Drosophila melanogaster: one gene and its partners. Changing the gene in region 4 together with the main gene of any one other region gives a genetic interaction. Each region holds a gene or a part of one and is shown on either strand. Other genes may lie near its edges.

Evidence for each region.
Region 1: of ex (region 4) and crb, changing one suppresses a phenotype caused by changing the other (phenotypic suppression), as found in Drosophila melanogaster (3 studies listed by BioGRID).
Region 2: of ex (region 4) and Zyx, changing one suppresses a phenotype caused by changing the other (phenotypic suppression), as found in Drosophila melanogaster (2 studies listed by BioGRID).
Region 3: of ex (region 4) and Tgi, changing one suppresses a phenotype caused by changing the other (phenotypic suppression), as found in Drosophila melanogaster (one study listed by BioGRID).

The regions. Positions count from the first base shown.
Region 1 is NT_033777.3:24,293,382-24,298,132, forward strand, and holds the start of crb (crumbs), read left to right. Parts: upstream 1-1,696; 5' UTR 1,697-2,245; coding exon 2,246-2,483; intron 2,484-4,751. Other genes in the region: CG5715 (uncharacterized protein), read right to left, coding at 46-540, 597-989.
Region 2 is NC_004353.4:1,061,963-1,066,751, reverse strand, and holds the start of Zyx (zyxin), read left to right. Parts: upstream 1-1,750; 5' UTR 1,751-1,929; intron 1,930-2,370; 5' UTR 2,371-2,507; intron 2,508-3,832; exon of another isoform or gene 3,833-4,074; intron 4,075-4,789. Other genes in the region: apolpp (apolipophorin), read right to left, coding at 1-812, 867-896, 1,569-1,644.
Region 3 is NT_037436.4:13,493,812-13,501,686, reverse strand, and holds the start of Tgi (Tondu-domain-containing growth inhibitor), read right to left. Parts: upstream 6,061-7,875; coding exon 5,541-6,060; intron 788-5,540; coding exon 473-787; intron 405-472; coding exon 1-404.
Region 4 is NT_033779.5:429,427-434,299, forward strand, and holds the start of ex (expanded), read left to right. Parts: upstream 1-1,800; 5' UTR 1,801-2,691; intron 2,692-4,873. UniProt on the Drosophila melanogaster protein: Activates the Hippo/SWH (Sav/Wts/Hpo) signaling pathway, a signaling pathway that plays a pivotal role in organ size control and tumor suppression by restricting proliferation and promoting apoptosis.

The DNA of each region.
Region 1 (4,751 bases), on a different chromosome or scaffold from region 4:
GTTTGTCAAAATACTGTTACCGAATGCTTCGACTGCAGTTGTCATCTACACCTTGCACTTGTACATTGCGTTGATCTTGCGCACATCTCCGGCTGAGAAGCCCTTGCGTTGACCCATCTGGCTGGCATCGGATGTGGCACGCAGTGCCTTCAACGTGGGCTGGCCATTCCGAGTGAAACTGGTGGGGGAGTAGTGCATCACACTGCCATAGTCGTATTCCACGCCGAAGCCGTACTGTGTCCTGGAACTGGACTTCTCGAAGTTGACCATCATCTCGGGCTTGATGTTGTCCTTCATCACGCGCACATAGGAGTCACGTTCGTGACGATTCTGCTCATGGAAGAAGCCCAGGGCGTGCATCAGCTCGTGAATGGGAGTGCCGTATGTACGCAAGCAGTTGGGCGACTGCAGATTCACTTCCTGGCGACCACCTAAGCGCCCAATGCTACTCCAGCAGCCAGACTTTCCGCTACCAATGGAGATGTAATCCTTTTCGGTGGTCCTGGGCTTGAAGCGCACGCATGTTTTGGTGTGGTATTCCTAAGATACAAAATCTTATTTGTAAATTGTAATAGGGACTATTACTGAAACCTCACCTTAAAAGCGTGGTTAATATTCCCCAATTCCTGGCTGGTAAAAGGACCTTTGATCTCGTAGGGCACAACGCCGCCCGGCCAGCGGGAACTCAGCGCCAAAATGCCATTACGAGTGCCATTGAATCGGGCGTCCCTGTAGCTCAGTGGAATCAGGATGTCACCTTCGTGGTAGGTTCCCAGCTCCTCGGGATTCAGCGGGGATTCCACACCGAGTGCCTCAACCAAAGCTCCAGTCGTCTCCACGTCCGGATTACCGAACAGAGTATCTCCAAGATCTGTCAAGTCAATCATTTCCTGGGAGTCCATATCCTCCAGGGGCATGGAATCTCCCAGAGAAATGCCCAGTATAATCAGTAGCAAAAGCGAACCAGTATTATTTTGCGATTTGCCCATTTTGCTAATTCCCCAACTGCTGTGATTTCTAACCAGGCTTACCCACATTATATAGTCCCACCTAGACCTCCAAAAATTGACGACATGTTGTCGGTGCTGCCTGTTTATGCTGAGTTCTCTTTGAAACGATAAGTCGGCGCTTTGTGGCCGTTTACATTTACATTAAGTACGTAGTTGCTATCCGCCGGCTTCTTGATTTATGGGGAATTTACTTTTATGCATTCCGACTTGAAAATATGTGCAGTGCGGAATTTTCGCAAGTTAAGATTTGCGGTATTATAAAAGGTTTATTCTATTTGGATTATGATGATGTAGGTCACAACTTACAAAACCCATAACTGCCGTTGGTAATTTAAGTGAAGTTTACGTTTTCATGTTCCCGCCATAAATTAAACTTTACTATGCTCGTGTATTTTGGAATGTCACCTAGACATACACACGATATTAATTGATATATTGAATAGTTATATCAGTAAAGTTTTATGAAAATGTAATTAACGGTTTAATTCTTGTGCGAAATCAATTCAAGAACAAAATATTTTTTTTGTACATATTGTACCACTGTGCAACTTGAATATCAGTGTGGCCATGCATGTTGACTCTATATCAAAATCCAGCCAAACCTAGCCAAGCGGACTGGTCACACTGCACCATATATAAGCCCACGAAACGGATATCGCCGATTCAAACGGTCGAACATTTTTCTTGCTGCTCGTACGTACGTTTTATTGGTTGCTCGCGCTCGTAACGTTTTTTTCGCCCCGTTTTGGCCAATGTGTGTGCGCGCGCGTGTGTGTGTGCTGCTTGCAGTTCAAAAGGGCAGCGACAACAACAAGAACAGCGCACCTCTCTTTTAAGCCAAGTCTTCGGCGCTCGTATGTGTGTGTGTGTGTTGGTGTGATTCAGAATCGTGGCCTGGGAAGAAATGGCAAATTAGTTGGCTCAAAGTGGAATCTCTGTGCTCAATATTCAAATTCAGGCTAGAAAGTGTCGCGTGCGAAAGTTTGCAAATAATACAACTAGCAGAAAAAGAGGAATATAACTTAAAAAAAATAAAAATAACCTGTTCTAAGCCAAGTGCCGATTGCGCGCGTGTGTGTGTGTGCGTATGAGTGTTTGCGTGGAGCAGAGAGAAGGGAGAATGCAATTACCAACAACAACAAGCTCAATGAGTATCGTTTGAATAGCAATAATATCTAGCCAAAAGCAACCCTTTCCAATACGAAAACTCGACTTGAGCCAACAAATCAGCGATCATGGCTAAAATCGCCAATGCGTCACTGTCGCAACAACAAAAACAGCGGCAAGCAGAAACAGCAACGACCACAACAACAACAGTGGCGGCATCAGTAGAAACAGCAACAACAACAGCAAGAAGTCGAGACCGCACGAAAAGCGCAGCTCAAATTACGTCGCATTTGCTCAAGCGCGCCATTTCAGTTTATTCGTCGCCTCAATGGATACCGCTCTTCATACTTATTTACTTAGCAACAGGTGAGAGAGAACCCTGAGAGGGAGCTAGCGAGTGAGTGAGAGGGAGGGCGATAGGCAGTCGAGGACATTCAGGAGGAGAGAGCGAAGATGGGGACATGAGAGAGCAACACGGTGTTTACGCGGTTCTTAAGCTACAGTGATCACTCCACAGCACTGAACTTGCCCGTTATAAATTATTAAAATGTATATTAGATGCCCATTTTAAATGGAATTTGTAATGTTGTTATTGTGTTTAAGCCTTTGGCTGCTCATATGATTAATGAGTTAATGAGATTGAGTTACGGAAGTCACACTGTAAATAATTTATATGATGAGCCACATGCATTCTTTAGCTTAAACATTTGCTGATGTTTCAAAAGCTCGTAATCGAAAAAAAAGAGCAACAGGTCATGTGTGTGTGTGGTGGGGCATTCGTGTGTTTTGGGGATGTTGACCAAGTCATGTTGGGTAAAAGGAATTTGGATTTTCAATGATTTCGGGCCTACGAAAAACTCGTTCAACGGGTTTTCCTTCAAGAAGTGACTCATGGAGCTGGCTTACCTGAAGTTTGATTGTGTTAATTATACACTCATTTCTAATTTTTGATGATTGTGTGCTCGGTCTTATCTTGCAAACAAAAGGAATGCTTAGAAATGTATTAGCTTCGATTGCGTATAAATTTATATTTAGTAGAGTACAACTTTAGTCGCTGAGAGAGATAATTAATCAAATTATAGCTTCAAAGGCGGTTAATGTTAGCAATCTTGGCCAAGAAGAATTAATTACTGAAACCAGAAGAGATATTTTAACGTGACCCGCATTTTTTACACACTGTAGCTTACAAATGGATATCATATTTTTAGGTAAATAACAGGGAATCGTAACAAATTATTGTTTCTGCATTTGTTGATACTGGTGCGATTTTTTGGTAATAAAACCTCATTTGTCTGCATTTTCAAAGCGCTTTTAGCGATATCACAACAGTGAAATCTGTGAAACTTATCGCATAACGATCATAATAATTGATTCACAACTCTTGCTGACTCATTATGTGTAATTTTCTGTTACATGTTGTCCGCGGCTCAATTGTTTGGCTGGCTTAGCATTGTCTGCCCCCTTTTTCCAACGGATTGTGCAAAAACGACCTCAAAAATTGGGTCTATTTATTTACAATTCGAGTACCAACCCTCCAAACGGCCAGCCATCCGGCTGTTGTTACGCGCAATCTTATCTTTTGGCCGGAAAGTGAAGTACAACAGTTGCAAAAGCGCGGCCAACTCAACGTCAGCAATACCGCAATTCCGTTGATAGGTTGATAAGAAGAACACTCAGGAGAAGGGAGCACAGATAGAGAAAGAGTTTTCCAACTCGAAGTAGGGAAAGCCCTGGAGTGCAGCGAAAACATAGTAAACCAGTTTATCAGCTCTTGAAGCTAATAGTAAACAAATTTTCAGCTTAATAATTAAAAAAAATCCAAACGAGTGAAAAGCCCTAATAAAGAGCTATAATTCATTCATTTCCATGAACACATTTTCTTTTAATTGTAAAGAACCAACCTCTCTATAGGCCCTGTATTTTCGTATACCTTTTATCGTAGAATTTATCAAATGACTTTGGTTTATGATTGACAAGGAAAACCGACGAATAAAAAGAAGAGAAAATGAATGTCTGGGCTGGGAAATCCCTGAAAGGCATCACAGCAACTGGTTTATGGCAGCTTCCATCGTAAAATCCAGACACCGACAGCGAAGATCATCAGCGTCATCTTCACTTCGAGAGTGGTTTCTGTACGGCTTTCGTTTGAATTTCCGCCCTAAACAGATATAATCCATCATTTTCAGGGGAAAAATCGCGGCACAGGTATACTAGGCACGCTGGAAAAGTGGAGGGAAAACACAAATGAACCGAAACTACCTGCATTGCGTTAACGATAACAACACGTGACCCCGCGAGTTTATGGAAATTCTCTGGCACGTACATAAATGAAAATCGAGAATGGAATGGAAATTGTACGCTGGACACACCCGCGTTCTCCGCTCTCCGGTGTCCGGTGTTTCAACCTGGTCAAGTGTTAAAGTGCAATCGGCCGTGACGCGGGTCGTGGGCCATGTTCCGTGGGCCTACGCAGCCGGCCGCGACCATTGCCTGACGTTGGCCATTAGTGCAAGTCGTTAGCCAGGTCTATAAAAATAGCCAGAGTATAACTGAAAAAGAACTGATTTGCCCCAGTCCTTTAAAGGTTAGGGCGTACTTTACTACCCAGTACTTAGTGGGGAGTGGGGAATTGTG
Region 2 (4,789 bases), on a different chromosome or scaffold from region 4:
AGATAGAATCGTTTTGAGGGCGTTAATATTTTTGGAGGTATAGGTTTCTGGTCTCTGAAATATTAGGCTTCTGACAGTAGAACCAGTTCCTGGTGAGTTTGCCTTGGTACCGCTTGGATTTTTCAGTTTTAATATTGTGACTACTTTTGCACTGATATCAGAGTTTCTTTTAGTATTTCCAATAAACTTATATGTTTCTGTCAGCTGAACATTTTCAATTAAGTGGTTTACAATCCTGGACTCCTTTATATAGTTTGCCTGCAACAGCAGGCTAGACGTAATGCCAGCTTTTTCGTTAACTTTGCCGGACACCAAGCCACTGTTTATCTGCTCGCGATGCGAACAGCTGTTTAAGTTCCGCGCCTTCGTAATTATATTTGCGTTACCCACTTTCGATGTTGATGTATGTGTAGGGCACATGCCGAAAACGTCAACCTCATGTTCCGCTTCTATTCCCGATTGAAGCAATGATACAACTGCGCGCTTAATATTCAAAGAGTAGTCCAAGTCGCTGGAGTCTGAGCAAATTTGTGGCTCTAAAATTCCACTTACCAGTGTAAACTGAACTGGCTTCTGAATGCTGTTCAATATCTTTTTCTCCACAGACTCTTTTGTATTAGTTACCTTAACGGAACTTAACTGTAATGTGTACCCACAGTTTCCTTTCGCAAAAATTTTTGCAGATCCGGACACTTTAAGACTTGTATCATCTGAGTCGTTCGGAACGTCGCTACTCGCTCCAATAGTTAAAATACTGTCGAAGGAATAGTCATAGTAGTTGCCGGGTATGTACTTCAAAAGTCCATTGTCAGCTGTGGCATAAAATTGTTTAGTATATAAATACATACTTTTTTTGTATTACTTACATTTTGGACATCCTAGATTGCAAGCGTTTTCTAAAATTAAAAAGAAAATGTTTGTATAGAATGAATTAAGGAAAAGTAATCTCCAAGTCGCCAAATAAATATTAGTATCACCAGAAAGAATTTTAAAATTTGGGTTCCCCCTTTACCACTTATGTATTTACCTGAACCATCTATAAGGTCTATAAATCGTTATCAATGATTTTGAGTTTTAAAGGTGCAATGTCCTCTAATTTTATATGTTTTGATTGATGGGACTCAAACGATTTTTATGAAATATATGATTTTTTAACGGAGCTATTGGCAAAAGAATTTCTCTTGCTATCCGTTTTTAACAATTTACTGAAAAAGAATCCAGTTGGACATTGCGGTTTAACTGGCAAAAACAGCATTTGTCAAACTTTGATTTTTTTTTTTTTTTTTTGAATATTCCAAATCCTTATAACTTTGACTTTTTTGGAGCAAATTTGAAGTTTTGTATTCTAATAAATTTTATAGTATTATAGTCAATATAATATAAAAAGTGTAATTTTGTAAAGTAGAGAAAATCATTCATAATTAAATCTCCTGTAAGAGATTTAAGTAGTTAAACCATGTTTTTACACGATCGGCTCATTTATTTTTGATTTAGTTTACATAATCTATATCATTCGATAAAAATCAAGATTTCAATAATTTATGGTTAGCTTAACTTGTAGCACTTACCAGCATTTACAGCAATTGTTAAAAGCACAGAAGCTAGGATTCCAATCAAAGCGATATTGTATTTCATCCTGGCCATTACGCTGGGCCCCTTAGGGATAGCCTGGGAATAGCAAACGCCACAATTTGTATCACATTTTTATTTTACTACATGTATTTTTTACCTTTACCAACACTGGTCCAATTTCACTTTGTATATACTTCTTAGATTAAGAAACACACAGACCATCCGCGAATTAAACCGATTCGAATACAATGAACGTTGTCTACGAATTAAGCCGGATTACGTGAAAACACTCACTTTAAATACCTCAAATAAATCAAGAACTCACACATCTACAATTGTGCCACATAGTATTTAAGTGTATGTCTTGTAAATAAATACAAATACAGCGAAACAAGTACAGATGAAGACACATTGTGAGAGACATGCATTTAAACGATTCTTTATCACCAGCGATGGGTGCTCAGGCCAAAGCCGAGTGTATTTAATATAATCTCATTATAATCGGACTTCGACATACTCGACCCTAGCTTAGTACCTTTACCTACTCTCAATTTTCATCTAATACATAAGACAAAAATAAAATAAAGAATAATTAAATATAGATATAATTAAATAAAAATATATCGCTTTGCATAATACGTGCTCAACTTACAATGGCTGATATAAAATATAGAATATATAGAAAATGTAGACGCTATAGTACCATTTCCCGTCTTTCACCTACATTTTCTCGATATACCAGTGGAAAATGACCAGAAAAATAATAACATGAAAAAAAATCACAAAATTTTTTTTAAGTGTGGGCGTGACAGTGAGCGACGTAAAAATCGGTAGATTGTAAAATCTGATTGATAAATCTGACTGATAACAAAAATGCAAAATATCAAACATTTTTCAAAAGTGTGGGCACGGACGGACATGCCCAGATCGATTTGGTAAGAAATCCTGCTCAAGTTTATATATATATATATATACTTTACAGGGTCGTTTATGCTTGCTTCTAAACTTGGTTGTTTTGGGTGACCACCCCCTTCTGGCCATCCTACCAGACCTATTATACCCAATTAAGCATTTTAATTTACACTTCACCGCATTTTCTGGCAAGCCATATGTTACCAAAACCACCCACAGTCTCCATTAAAAATGTAACTTAAAAGCAAATATTGTTCGAATCACTCTATTACTTTAGTAGTACAAAATCCTTTCATCTACCTTTTCAATATTTTAAATATGGCTTTGGGCTAATAAAGTAATAAACAAATCGCAAATTACGTTTTCCTCTTAAAGGTGTTGAAAACTGTAAGAAATGCAAAGTATAATTGTGATTATAAATGTTGAAAACTGATATTTATATACTTGACAGTCTCAAAAGTGTGTAAACTTGGAATTTGTTGTTTATTTTCTTGTATAATTAATATTTTTAATTCGTTTTTTGATTCATAAGTAAAATAAATATTGATTAATTATATTTTAGAAAAAAATTGCGTTTAATTTAAGCAAAGAACCCTTAGTTTTTACCTTTAAAGTCAAAAATTCAACTTATTTCACAGTGTGTAAACAGTTTCTTGACAAACTGTATGTGCAAATAAGAAAACTAGTTGTAACTCTAAAGCAATTATGTTTTATGTATAGGTATTGAGAAATTCGATGTAACAATTGTTATCATTCCAAATTTAATGTGAATGCGCAAGTACACACATACATACATACATATATGCATTTGCAGAGATTGTCACTTGCAATCCATGTTTGCACACATCTGTAATGGAATTTGTTATACATTTTTATGCCCTTTTTTCATATAGATGAAAGTATGCTTACAAATGCAAGCATAGGTACATAGGTATTTAAAATATGCATACACATATTTACACATGTATATTTATTTGATTTTGAACAGATGTATAAAATATGTTTATATGAAAGTTCGTTCCTGAATTGCAGTTAACGACTGATAAGAAACTTTAATCTGTAATTAAAAGTTGCTGGAAAGCAAAACGCTGCTCGATAAGCACGCAGAAAGGCAGCCTGCGTGATCGGACAGAAAAAATTACAGTTCGAAAGAAGTTTACTCTTGTATTGTTCCCGGTTAGTAAATAAATCATCGTAAACGGAAGTCCACGCTTTGAAGATGATCACTAATAGTGCGTTGTGACAGCAGGAGACCACTGTTTAGAAGCGTAGAATAGGATGTCAGTTACGATTGTCTGATTACAACCATTTAAATCTTTTTTCTTTAACCATTAAAAAGTTAGATTACCGTGCCCACATTTTCTGAAAAGATTCCGCTGATGAATTGAGCTCTATGGCCGTACATATGTGAAGTGATTCCAAGTCAGCTTCCTTTTAAAAGTGCACCTTTCATGATAGATTTCCCATATTTAGGGTTTTTATACCACTTGACTAAAAAGGTATTTGATTAATTAATAATTATTTTGGCTCCTAATTATGTGGCTCCTTAGAAATCGGTCATTCCCCTATCCTTTACAATACTCCTCCACCGAGCTTAATTTCGCTTCGATTGGGCCAAACAATTAGACGATTGGGTGTGGTGTTCAAAAATATGGATATCGTTATGGTACTTATTTACAAGCAACTGTGGTTTGCAATCATTTTTATATTAACGAGGAACTTTATTCAATGAAATTAATATTTATATTCAGACCTCCACGGTATTTAATGTGAATTTCTTACATGAAGATAAGAAGAGAACAGAATTTTCTTCTTGAATATGAAGTAATATGACTTCGCATTTACATTTACATTTATTAGCAAATTAGCTGAACCAAATATCACGAAAAAATAAATTGAAAGAGCCGCACCAGATTTAATTTATTTTAAAATTCCTTTGTCTGGGAGAAGAACAAAAATGCAATTTCGGATGATGTTGAAACGAGATTTATTTCATAAAGTTAACTTATAAATATTTTTAATAACAGTGGTCGAGTGAGCGAATTTATCGGAAGCCACCTACATGACAGCCATTTGTTTTGTTTGGGCCCAAAGGAAATATTATAAAAATTTGAGTTAAAAATTTGTTCAGGGGTTTATCAATTATTGATCAGTTTCTGGAAAGCGGTGGAGTCGATATCGCCGTTCATCGTCTGTTTTGCCATCCGTTCGCTTCTACACAAACTTGTCTCACTAATTATCCCTGAATGAAACTTTCCCATAAAGTTTTCCAGTGACAGCTATAGTCAAGTTCCCCGACAGTCAG
Region 3 (7,875 bases), on a different chromosome or scaffold from region 4:
CACCGCTGCCTCCATCACCTGGCTGACGGCCGTGGGTAGCGCTGGTGCCGATCCCGTGGCCGAAGGTGGCGGCGATGGCGGCGTTTGGGTGCGATGCAGTGCCAGCGACAGGGGAAGCGGTTCCTCCTGCGGCGGCGGCAGTTCCGGCTGCAGCGATTCGGGCTCCAGAATGACCCATCCCGACTTGGCCAGCGGCGAGCGTTGCTGCTGGTAGTGCTGCGATGCCGCTGTGCTGGTTGATGAAGGCAGTCCGTAGGCCAGTGGCGAAACCTGCTGCTTAGGTGTACCACTTGGCGAGGGCGTGGGTGTTGGCGTAGGCGTCGGTGACTTCTTGGCGAACAGGGCAGCATAGTTCTCGCCCAGTGAGCGTCGGAAGTGCTCGTCAATGTCGCACATCGCCATATCTGCAAGGCAAATCAAAGCATCAGGTTAGTATGATCGTTGACACTAATGTGCATATATGACTTCTCACCTGTAGAGTGGGCCTGCTCCGGTGGTTCTCGCTTGGGTGGAGCCTGGGTAATGACGCTGGGTCGACTGTTGGCCGCGTAGTTGGTCCCAGGCAAGGGTTCGCGATAGGGTGGCGGCGGTGAGGCTCTCTGCTTCAGAGCTCCCGTCGTCACCGACATGTCAATGGGACTGTCCATGTCGCGATCCTCTCGATCCCGCTCCCGTTCCCGCTCCCTCTCGCTGTTGCCTGCCTCGTGCGGCTGGTATCCGGCACTACGCTGACGCCGCTCGCGTCGCCATTTGGTGGTGGTCAGCACCTTGGACGTCGCACGCATCTCTGCAAGGAGAAAAAAAAAGAAACATCAAGAGTCAAAAACGGTTTTCAGGAAAACGAGCTATCTGTTTTGGCCATCTTTTTGGCTAGCCCTCTGAATAGTAATAGTCCATATGTCCATATTATAGACAAAAATCGAATTTCAATTAAAACCCATAAATTTGCTGTGGCTTTGCGGTTGATTTGGGTTTTGTCTGGCTAGCGATTCACCAATGCTCGTTGCGGTTTACGTGTCTGTCGTCTTGGCTTCGATTATGCGGTCGATGAGTGGGCGTAATGAATCAGTTGGAGTTGAGGCGAGGCTGACTCTACAAAGGTTCTCCTCCACCCGATCGCCTGCCTGCGTCTATGTATCCAAATCTCTACCCCCCCCTGGCCCGCTCTGTCCTGCAAGTTTGTTGCCTAAGTCTTTCGTTTTTTTGAATGAACCTCTGCCAAAAGCTGCAAAGTCGCGGAGCGGCAGAGAGCGGCAAGAGCGGGCAGGAGGAAGAGTTTAAGGCAGCACAGAAATTATGCACAAGAAGACGTAGCCGTCATCGGCAAAAAATATGAATAAAAATAAAACAAAAAAAACGGCACACACACACTCGAACAAATAAATAATAACAACAGAAAAAGCATATACAATCGAAACTCCAAGGCACCAACAAAATTGGTTACGAAAACTCGTTTGGTCTACGCTCTTTTTCGAGTTCGCCTGGGTTGTATGTGTGTGTGTGTGTGTGTATTAAAGTCTGGGCCTGGCCTACACTGAGCGAAACGCAGGAACGTGCCTGGCCTGCCAATGGGCGATTGACCGAGCTGCCGGCGTGGGAAGCGGCCAAAACGGAGCGTGGGCATCCCGTCGGGATGAAAGATCCATCTGCTCCAGGCGCTCAGTGTAGCTGCTGCTGCAGCTTGCCAGGAAACCAAGTTTATAAATAAAGCAAAAGGCTGGCAGCGGGAAGCCAGGTCCCAGAACCCAGTTTCTCGGCCGATATCGAAGGGGCAGGCAAACCAGTCGGGCGACTTCTGCACATTTCGAGCAGCGCAGAGAACCCCGTTTGGAGGAGGAGTAGCTGCAGTCCCAGGAACCCAGGCATGAATGAATGAATGAATGGCTGGATTGGGATGGAGGCGGTTGGCGTTGGCGGAGGAGCAGGAGCAGGAGGAGTGGTAGGAGCAGGCGGGAGCGTTGTCCTGTTTTTGGCAACGTCACTGCGGGGCTGCCATATATTACTACCTCTGCGAGTCCAACCAAACCGGCGAGGCAGAGGAGCACCAGTAAGAGGAGCCAAGAAACTGGTCTGTCCCGAGTGGAGCACTGGGCGCAGAGGATGACGAGGAGGTGGAGGAGGAGGGCGGAGGCAGTGAAGTTGGAGTTGCAGGCCAAGAGGCATTAAAAACCAACAAACACGGAGGCTGGGAGCAAACTTGGGCTTGGACTCGGGCTCGGGCTCGGGCTCAAGCGGATGATGATGGGGATGATGATAATAATAAAGAAACATTCAAATTTTATTGCACATTTCCGGTCGTCGGACGTCGCCGTCTGTTGGGGGATCGGCGGTTCGACAGCGAAAACAACAACCACAACAACGAAGACGAAAACGACAACGATGGAGCATGGAGCATGGAGCATGGAAGTTGGAACATTAAGCTTTCTTTTTGAGGCTCCCCCTCTTTTGCGGATTGTGGTCTGCAGCTCCCTATCTCACCTTCGCCGCCACCGCATTTTCAGCATCCTCTCGGCATTGTTTATTTGTTCTGCTGCCAGCGTTTTAATCATTTCTGTATCGGCTAATTGGCGATAAAGGGGAAGTCGATTGAATGGCAGGCCGTTTCGAAATTAAGGGGGAGTTCGTAAAAGGGAGCTCGAAATGGGGTTACATCGATGATATAAGCAAGGGACAGTCGTGGGATCCAGGCGATGTAGGATGTAGTGACAGTTAGCTTGTACTCCGAACAGAAAAATCAAACGATTTAAAGGTAGAAACCAGGTTTTGGCATTTGTAAAATGAATTGAAGCCATAAAGAACGACTTGAATAAACAATAAAAAAACAACCGCAAAGTTGAATAATTAAGAAACCAATCTATACATTCGTATTTAAGGTTTTGTCATCAGGTCTTCTATTCTATAATTCGTATAAGTATATAATCGATACAGGGTTATTTCGTTAGTTTTTGATACCCATTTATTTTTATAGAGATGCATATAAATGGTAAATTTATCTGCCTTCATTTCAATGTTTTGTGGATAGCAATTACAAGGAAAGCATTACTTCCCTAATATTCCTATAAACAACAAATTTAGCAAATAATAGACTTTTCAATTGATAATGTTAGATGTTAAAATAAATCCAAGTATTTTAGAAACTTTGCCCATAACAATTAGAGTACATTATTATTGTACAAAAAAATCGAACCATTATTTCAGGCGAAACATTTCACAATTTCCGGTAACGGTGGGCCAATCTCAAAACTTCTTCACCGCTGAGGTGATATATCAGCTGTCTGGCGAGATTTGAAAGCGCCGGCCCAGTGAGATCCCAATATCTGGTTCCGACCCGAAGGGAACGCGCGAAAGAGAGGGGAGGAGAGGCGGAAAGAGAGAGACGGCGCGAGAGTGACAAAACTCAAGCAGACTTGCATGCTTATAAGTTTTGGCCTGTTCGGAGTGTAAGATTGTACTACAAATGGCTTCAAAGCAATAGCAATAGCAATGGGAACAGCATTTTGTGGCTTATGCAAACAAGTTGTTGCTGCTCTGGTTGTTGTAGCTTTTGTAGCTTTGTGTACACATTTATTTTTCCATCATCGTCGCCGCCGCCACCGTCACCGCCATCGCAGGCGTTTTTCATTATTTATATATTTTACGTTTATTTTTCTTTACTCGCGCCGGCTAGTGAGTCATGCCCGTAACCACGTATCCGATCCCCAAGCCCCCGATCCCTGCCAGACTTTCCGCTATACCCGCACCGCATTACCCGCTGGCCGAGTTGATTGCAAATCTGGTTTTAATATGTCAACAAATTAACAAAAGCAAAGCAAAACCGAGTCGAGCCAAGCACAGCGGCTCCAAGCCCCAAACCAAGCCCCCCCCCCCCCCTTCCCAATCCAAGTTCCACCTCATCGTTTTTATTTTTTTTTTATGGAGGTTTAATGTTTAAACAGGCGCTCATTTTTTGCTCTTTCTCGGGCTGCTCTTTTTTTCCAGTGATTTTTGTGTTTGCCTGGCGTCGCCATGTAATTGAAAGCATTTGTGTGATTTGTGCAATGTCGCCAATTAACGCGGTGGAACTGGAGTGTGAGTGTGTTTGTCTGCTCGTTTGCCAATTCGAGCCCGAAGCCAATCGTTGGCGACGGGGGAGCGCAGTAAAAGTGTTGCCAATTTCATTACCAATTTTCCAGTTGGCACAAGCCAAGTAGAGACGCCATCGATACGCTCTTGCAGCCGGCGTGACCGATTGCGTTAGCTGCCGTTGCCAATCTGCGTCTGAGTCCCAATCCCAATCGTCATCACGTTCACGTCCACGTCCTGGCCACACGCCGCCCACTAACTGATAAAGCGAGGCTTAGCGAATCGCTTCCGATATCCCATTCATGAGCGCAGTGGGTGAGTGATTATCGTGGCCATGTGGCCAAAGGAAAGGGCACGTTCGCCGATCCATTGAACTTCAGCACCGATCAGGCGAATGAGTGTAGCCTCCACGTGAGCAGCAGGTGCAGCAACGTGGTCTTCGCTTGTCCTGCTCTTCGCTGCACTTTGCCTGCCTCCATCCACCCAAGATAATTGCGAACATATTATGTGGTAACCTAGAACCACACGTGTTGTTTACTTCAAGGAACAGTCATGCCAAGAAGTGGAAAGAGTTTGAATGTTCATTCGGTGATATACGTATACTATTTAACAAGATGCTTGTAAGATTTCAATACTCTGGTCTGCAAAGAGTTTATATAAACAATATTGTCTTTGTTTTGGCTTCTTATTTGTTCGGTTTTTAAAGCTGCAATTAAAGATCTTGTTGTAATGAGATTTCAACTAGAAATCAGGTAACAAGAACATCCCCTATGCTGTCATAGGAAACTTTGGGTTAAATGGAAAGAACTTTGTGTTTTTTTATGCTGGATTTTATACTTAAAGATTCAAAGCTTCGTTGAAATGTGTAATTAAACATCTTTAGATGTTTCTAAATGTTTCTACTATAGTTTAAAATTTTCATTTAGTTAAAAACTGACAGGTGGTTTAAAGCTAGAATGACACTGACAGGGTGTTACCTCTTTCAATTTGAAATCGACAATTTTTAAGAGGGTTTATACTAGAGTTTGAATTCATTTAAGCACACTGTTGTTGATAAACAATTGTTACAAACAATTCTGATATTTATTTACCTAAAATTGAAGCGTACCATTTACCGACAGGATGGCTATTAATAATCGTTATAATAAATCGTAACAACGTTGTAGAACCCTGAACATTTAGACTTTACTTCCCAGAAGAAGCACGGAATAAATTAAAGGTTATGATAAGACAAATTAGTGAAACTACACGAATCCGAAAAATGGAATTACGAAGAAGGGGATCTCACATTTGAAAGAATACAAACAAACTATCCCCTGCCATTGTGGCCTCATGTGCAATCTTCCTAATGAATTGTAAGCAAGTTTCACTGGCAAGATCACCCGTATGTGACAGTTTCAACCTTTCAGTCCCCCGAGGTCAGTCAGTCGGGGGATTTTCGCTAGTCGATTTCTTTGAAGTCGCCCTGTCAAACGAACCTGAGTGCAACTGCAACTGCTGCTGCTGCTGCCTGTAGAGCTGGTGATGCATGGCGGCCGCCTGCTGGAGATCTCGCCATGGCTGCCAGAGCAGACTGTTGGCCATGGAGGAGGCGTTAGGATCGGCGTTCGCCTGCGGATGCATCTGCTGATTGCCGGACTCCGCCTGCAACGCATGCAGCTGCTCCAGCTGCTGAGGATGCTGGACATTGTAGAACATGGCCCTCTGGCTGGCCAGTGCTTGTTGGTCCGCCAGAGCAGCGGCCGCTCGGGCAGTAGCCACCTGGGCCAACGAACCGTGCGAACTGGCCGCGGACGAGACAATGGAGGAAGTGGAGGGTCCACTCGAGCAGGATGCAGATGAGATGGAGGCCGTCGAGGAGGCGGATGAGGCGGATGAGGCGGGAGATGTTGCTGTAGCCCCCCCAGCGGTTTCGGCGACCAAACGCTGGATCTCCTTGTGGTAGTAGTAATCCTCGAAGGCATCCAGTAAGCAACGATAATCTAAGCGGAGAGCCATTCTATGCGAACTTGATGGATTCTCAATTAGCTGCGCTATCTAGCCACTTCCTTCTTCTCGATCCAAATCTCTGGGGGTATCGATCCTCCCACACCGCAGTCGCCGCCGAAAAACCGACTCAGCTGATTCACAAATCACTACGCCTTGGCCGGGAGTTGGGGGCGGTATCTATCAATCGGTATCAGTTGAAGTACTTCTCGGATGCTGGGGAGCGGCACTCTTTTCTTTTTTTCTTTTATTATTTATTTGTTTTTCTTTCCCTTCCAGTTTATGATTACTTTTTTGCGCTCGGCGGCAGATACAGATACACGAATGTGCGCACACAAAACGAGCCGCAAGTCGCGACTATAGATACAGATACAATCTGTTTCTGTTTGTCTGTTGGTTTTTTTTTTTTTCTTCTGCGATTTGGTTTTTTTTTTTTGCGCGAACCGCGACTCGGGTTACAGTCTCTCGCCAGTTGAAACGGAGACTTTGGCTCTGCTCCGGCGACGTGAGCCTCGAGTCGACATTTAGCAAAATAAAAATAGCACGCTCTTTTTTCTGGCTTTTTCTGCCTTTTGTTGTTACGGCGACTCTGTCTCCGACTCTGTCGTCTCTGGGTTATATGTGTTTCTTTTCCGAGTAATGATTTGCATAGAAATCGACAAATCGCTGACTGAACTTGAGCGCCAGTTTTCGCTTTCAGAGACCGACGAACAGAACGGGGCGGCACACACGAACCGATCTGGACGCACGTTCCACGCCACAAATCGTAGTACGAATAGCAAGGTATCGGCTATAGCTAGCTGTCAGCTATATAGCATTAGGAACTGGGCAACTGTGCAACTGAGCAACTGAGCAACGCGACACCGAACTGGCGGCTTCCACGGCCAAACTCAAACTGATCGTCGGCGAGCGGCGACTTGAAGATTGCGACTGGGGCTTGCTGTATTATTATTATTATATAGGGGGCTTTCGAAGCTCCGAAGCCGCGGCCGAGTCTTCTGTCTTCCGTCTTCGGTTTCTTTGCCAGTCTTCGTCTTGCGCTCGTTCGCTGGGCTGCAAAAGTCTCCACGGGTCTTCGGGTCTCTGAAGAAACCGGGAATCGGGGGGATCGGATCTGTAGAGTTGGGGGCTTTTTTTTCTTTTTTTTTTTTTTTAGAGCCATTTGCACTTGCGCCAGTTGTCGTCCCTTGTTGTTTTTCGTTTATTTCTCCTCTTACCAATTTCCGTTTCGACTCTGGTTGGCCTGGCCTGGACTTGACTGGGTTGGCCCTCTCTTTCGCCGAAGCTCGCCGACGTTCGCTGGAGTTCTCAACGGATTTCGGATCTCTGCTTGCTTTTGGTGATTTGGTAATTGAAAAAAGTACAACTGAAAGACAGGCAAAGAAAGGGGTCCAATGTCTGTATATCCGTCCGTAGGATGTGGCCGCCACGCCCCGTTGCCCCATTGATGCTTGGCAAATTGGGCAAAAGGGTAACGAAATGGCAGCAATTGGGAATTGGCCACAGTCCGCGCGAACTCTTGGAGCACCGTAGCTGCTCTGGCTGTGAACTGCGATTTTGGGTAGGGCCAGTCGGGTCGGGTCGGGTCCAAGCAGCGCACATGGTGTGGGCGTTCTTTCATGTTGTCTGCAACGCTCTTTTGTTTTGGGCCCGGTCACTGCATTGGGCTCATTATAATGTTTACCCAGAGTTTTGCCACAAACCAGCGTAAATCCAGCAATGTTTGTAGCTGCGTGCAAAGCTACCTACGTTCCACCACGGCTTGTCGAATATGTGTGTGTGTGTGTGTGTGTGTGTGTTTGTGAGTGAGGACTGCAAGCGGGCTTG
Region 4 (4,873 bases):
CGCCAATTCCGCAAAAGCGATTCTCTGGACCGGGAGACTGGAGACTGAAATCGACTTCAAGGAATTGCATAAAACATTTTTGGCCGTTCTTTTTTTATTTTTTCACTCTCCTCGCTCAAAACTTCGGCCTCGACCAGGCTCCAAACCTCGCACACACACAAGCACAGATATAGAACGTATGTATATCTACACGATATTGACCAAGAACGTAGTTCCCAAAAGGCTGCTTACAGCAACAACAACAACCGGTCTTAGAGAACCAGCGACCAAGCGATCGACCAAAGACGAAAGAATAACGAACAGCCACAAAACAAAAAAAAAAAACAAGAATGAAAAGCTTGGGCTTCAAGTCGAAGATGGAAGTACTCTAGATCTCTTGTAGTCAGACTGATCCGGTGGGTAACAAACTACCTTTACTCAAATTCCCTTACACCATAGGCTTGTCAATAGAGAAATTTTCAAAATTTGTCCCAGGAGTGGCATGTACTTTTTTTGAAACCTACAAACCTTTTTTAATTCTTCCCGTTGTATCCCAAACAGGGTATAGCAGACACCACAACGCAAAGTACACTCAAAGAAATCAAAGGCTGTGCGAGTTGTTCCCATCGAAACCCCGCCTCACCGGAATGTCTCGCCCAATTTCTACCCCTGCCCCACCACTTCCCTGACTTCAGTCAACAAGTTATGTCCATGGCAAGACGACCCGACCCCGACCCCTTGACTCTCCAATTCTGAGTCTTCGACTTTTGGCCGGGTCTTCAGGGGCGTAGCGAGGGTTTGGCACCGGGGCACAACTTCGATCATCATTATATAGTCTTTTGGTTGTGTTTAGTTACGATTTTTATATCATTTAGACTTTTTTCCATATAATCTAAATTTTGTTTTCTGTGGATTTTTCTAAGTAGCCCCTTGGACGAACTGGTTAAAACCTTACTTGGCTTACACTGATCCCCGCCCTTTCGTGGGGCGTGTGTATGCCGCATATTTGAAGCAAATGATGGTTGAAGAGGTGGAGGAGGGGAAATGAAAAGGAGGAAATCTAAAGAAGAGAAAAAGAGGGAAGAGGGAGCAAAAAGAATCCAGCAAATCAAGCTCACATTATGCTGAGGAATGCGCCCAAGTGACGATATCGTAGCAGCAGAGGACGCCGATAGAGGCAGAGTCTTCAGACCCTCAAGTTCCGATTCCGATTCTCCCTCGTCCAGTGCATCTGTATCTGGAGTTTTGCCCAGAGAGTTTATTTATAAGATAGTCGCATCGATGGCTAGCGCAGGGATACTGAAAGCTAGATTTGAATCCAATAGGCTTCCGCCATAGTTTGGCAAAAAGTGAATGCCAAAAGATAGAACTCATAATGTAATTGTAATATACAATGTAAACTACAAGATAGCATGTGATAAAAAGCAGAATTAGAAAGAAAGGTACCTTTGTTAAAATTCTCATATGCATTTTACTTAAATCTGCTATCCTAACAGGGTATCCTTTAAGCCCTTGAGAATCGGAATCGTCGTCTCGCGAGATAAGCCATTGGAATTCCACTACTCACACGGACGCACACACTATGTAGTTGGCTACTGGGATTCTCCTTTGAAGTTTGTTTTTCTTTTATTGCTTATTGCTATTTACATTTTCGTAGCCGTTGTTGTTGTTGCCATCGGGTTTGTGTATCGCTGTGTGCGCTTCTTTCGAATTCGAATTCTCTCTTGGGCTCTCTTTTCGTTAAACGCGGCTTCGTTAAGTTTTAACGAAATCTCGACTCGATCTTCGTTGTGTTCGGTTTCGCTGAGCAGGGGCAAAATCAGTATATCGCTAAACGTCAACGGTAACCGAACAGATCGTCGGGACAGCAAAGCATGTGCTTTCCACTGGGAAATATAAATTCGGTTTAATGAATTTATTCGAGACCTAACATTCGGAAAAGTTGTTCTTCAGATCTTAAATGCACACCGCACGCACACCAGATCGCCCAGACACACACAGAGCTACACAGATTCAGTTGCTTAAAGTGAAGTTCGGTTTTCACTGAAACAAAAACAGCGCGCTTCGTTTTCGCACTCGCCTCAATTACAAAAGTGATTTTTGTTGGTGTTGGTGCAACTAGTTCTGATTTTGGGAAAACGCGCCTTAAAACCACGAAAATATCTACGACTAGTAGTGTAAAAAAGCTGAAGTCAACTCCGAAAAGTTGGTGCTGGTCAAAAAGAAAAAATTCAGCCGCAACAACAACTGCCCACTGGAAACTACAACTACAACAAATAAAGCAGTCAGCAACAGCAAAAACAACAACCCAGCAAACGGCATTCTTTCGCGCAACAACAACGACTCCACGCACACAGATACTCTCAGTTGCGCTCGCCCGCGTGTGCAATTGTTCTGGTGTTAGTGAGTTTTGATTAAAGTATGTGCGACGCTGGAATGCGACCCGATCGCTGTTGACTGCGCAGTCGCAGCGCGCGTCGTGGAAGTGGAAGAGGTCAGAAAGTAACAACAACGAAACGAAAATTTTACTGTTAGGCACTTATCGATAGCCAAATCAATAGATCGGTTTTAAGAGTGCACGAAGAGTGAGCTTTAGTTAAACAAAACTACCAAACCAAAATTAAAAAGCCAGTTATTGTGGATTACGCGAAACCGAAACAGAAGCAGATACAGATACAGCATTAACAATGCCGACTTCTGCAGCGGCTTAAGGTAAGAAAAGGACAGATACACGTGCAGATATAGAGTGGTGTACCCATATGGGGCCATTTCCCCGGAATTTTAATGACTCCCTGAAAACGGCAAACAAAACAAATGCCAGCAAATTTCTTATCTGTCAACCATAAAATCGCCAACGTCCAACGATTGTTTAACATTTCGTTGTTGTCGCCAGCTTTTTTCTTTAAATTTTTTTTTTTGCGTCCCGCTAAGAGTCAAAAATTCAGCGAATTGTGCAATTAACCCATTTCGGGCCATGGAATATCAAATGTCAGTCAAACTTGACACTCTACGGAGGGTATATTGAAATGGGGAAGCTGTTTAGAGTACTATTGTGTCAAATATATATGTACATTCACATGTGCATACATATGTAGTTATATAGTAGGCCTGACCGACTTTTTAAATACCGGTCACATTTAATTAATTTTTTTTGACATTTTCTATGCGGCCCTAAAGTATCTTTGCACAGGGTTTCACTTATCTCGGGATCCAATTTCCAAGTGAGCTAGTCAATTTGATAGGTTCTATGGCTAATAGGCGACTTAAACGGTTGTCAGAACGATCGACGGCGATGCAATTAAGTGAAAATGGAAGCTCCACAGAGTTCTATTGTTATTCCCGGGTTTGGAATTTCAACCGTCCATCGGGATCCCTGGAACAATTGCTGAAATCAGAAACCGCTTGGCAATCAGACATCTTGAATGTAAATCAGCGAAAGATAAACAAACGGGTGAAAACACACGCTTTGGGTATCAGTCGATAAGCTTTAAGCGGTTAAACGCTAATCGTTAAACGATTTTGCCACCAGGCAATCATATACATATGGGTAACTGTATCTGCGGACAGACGTATCTATATCTCGGCAAGTACACATGTATTCCCCGGATCGTAGTTTTAGTTCGCTTGTGGTTTTTTCGATTGAGCACTGACGTCTACATCTCCATCTCCGTGCGTATCTCTTGATCTCCACATCACACTTGACCTCAGGCAATGGGCTTTTGCATTGAAGCTGACAACAGCAACAGCAATGATCATACAAACTCAAAATATTAATTTCGTAAACTGAAATTCCTGCACGCAGTTGATATGCGTGTGCGAACATTGAAAACTCTGGTTGCTCATTGCCTCGAACAATTCAGGCAATTAAAATGTACAACAAATTAAACAAATTTCGAATGACAATCGGAGTCGAGGCTGGCTCAGAGATATAGAGGATACACTAATGAACGACCTTCGAGGATTAAAAAAATGTACTTATCTCTATGCTCGTAAAAAAATATTGTTTCAACAACATATTGCCAGATAGGCAAAAACTTAAAAGCCTCTTTACTTAGAATTGGTCAAAGAATTATTCTAGCCATAATCAAAATACCTTAAACTTTAGAATTATTGGTTACTCGTATTATAGCGCATTCATTTAACCCAAGATACCCTGTATGGACTGCTAATTTTTCTACGGTATTATGGCAGCATAGTTTCGCACGCCTCCGATTTGGCATGCGGCACACGTTGCGGCTTCTTTTTTGTTTTTGTATCTTGCTGTTTGCTGCTCTCATTGTGGAGGCCATCGCCTCCGCCACCGTTACCACCTTCGTTCGCCCAGTTGGGCATTTCGCGTCTGCGGGGTGTGGTGCGCAGTGGAGGAGAGTGGTGCGATGTGGTGCGATTTTGTGGTGCCTAGCCAACTGAAGCCGAGCGACGACGTGTGGGCTGCTTTCTTTTGGCCCACTCCGCCCTGGCTGCTCCTCACAGCTATCCAGCCAACCGAGCAAGCGACCATTTTCATTATTATCATCGGCGGTCGGCGGGGACATTTCACGCATTTCAAAGACATCAAATTGTTTGGCCATAACTGGCACAACAAGTGGAATTCCGCAGCTCGGAATTCGGCATTTGCCGCTTTGCTGTTTTATTTCTCAGTCGCTTGTTCCCTGATTTCTGTTTTCTCCTATTCGATATTCGCAGTTTGGCAAAGAGACGACGAGTTATTTGGCGATTTGATGGCACACTAAGCCCGGCATACAGAAAACTGCTTTCATAATTACTTGCGATGATTTCAATTCAAAACAATATATATTATCCACATAATGCTTTAAAGGTGTCTGGAGTTCGCGAATTTAAAACACCGTGTGCTTTATGAGGTACACCCAAATTGATGGCTCTTTACATAATT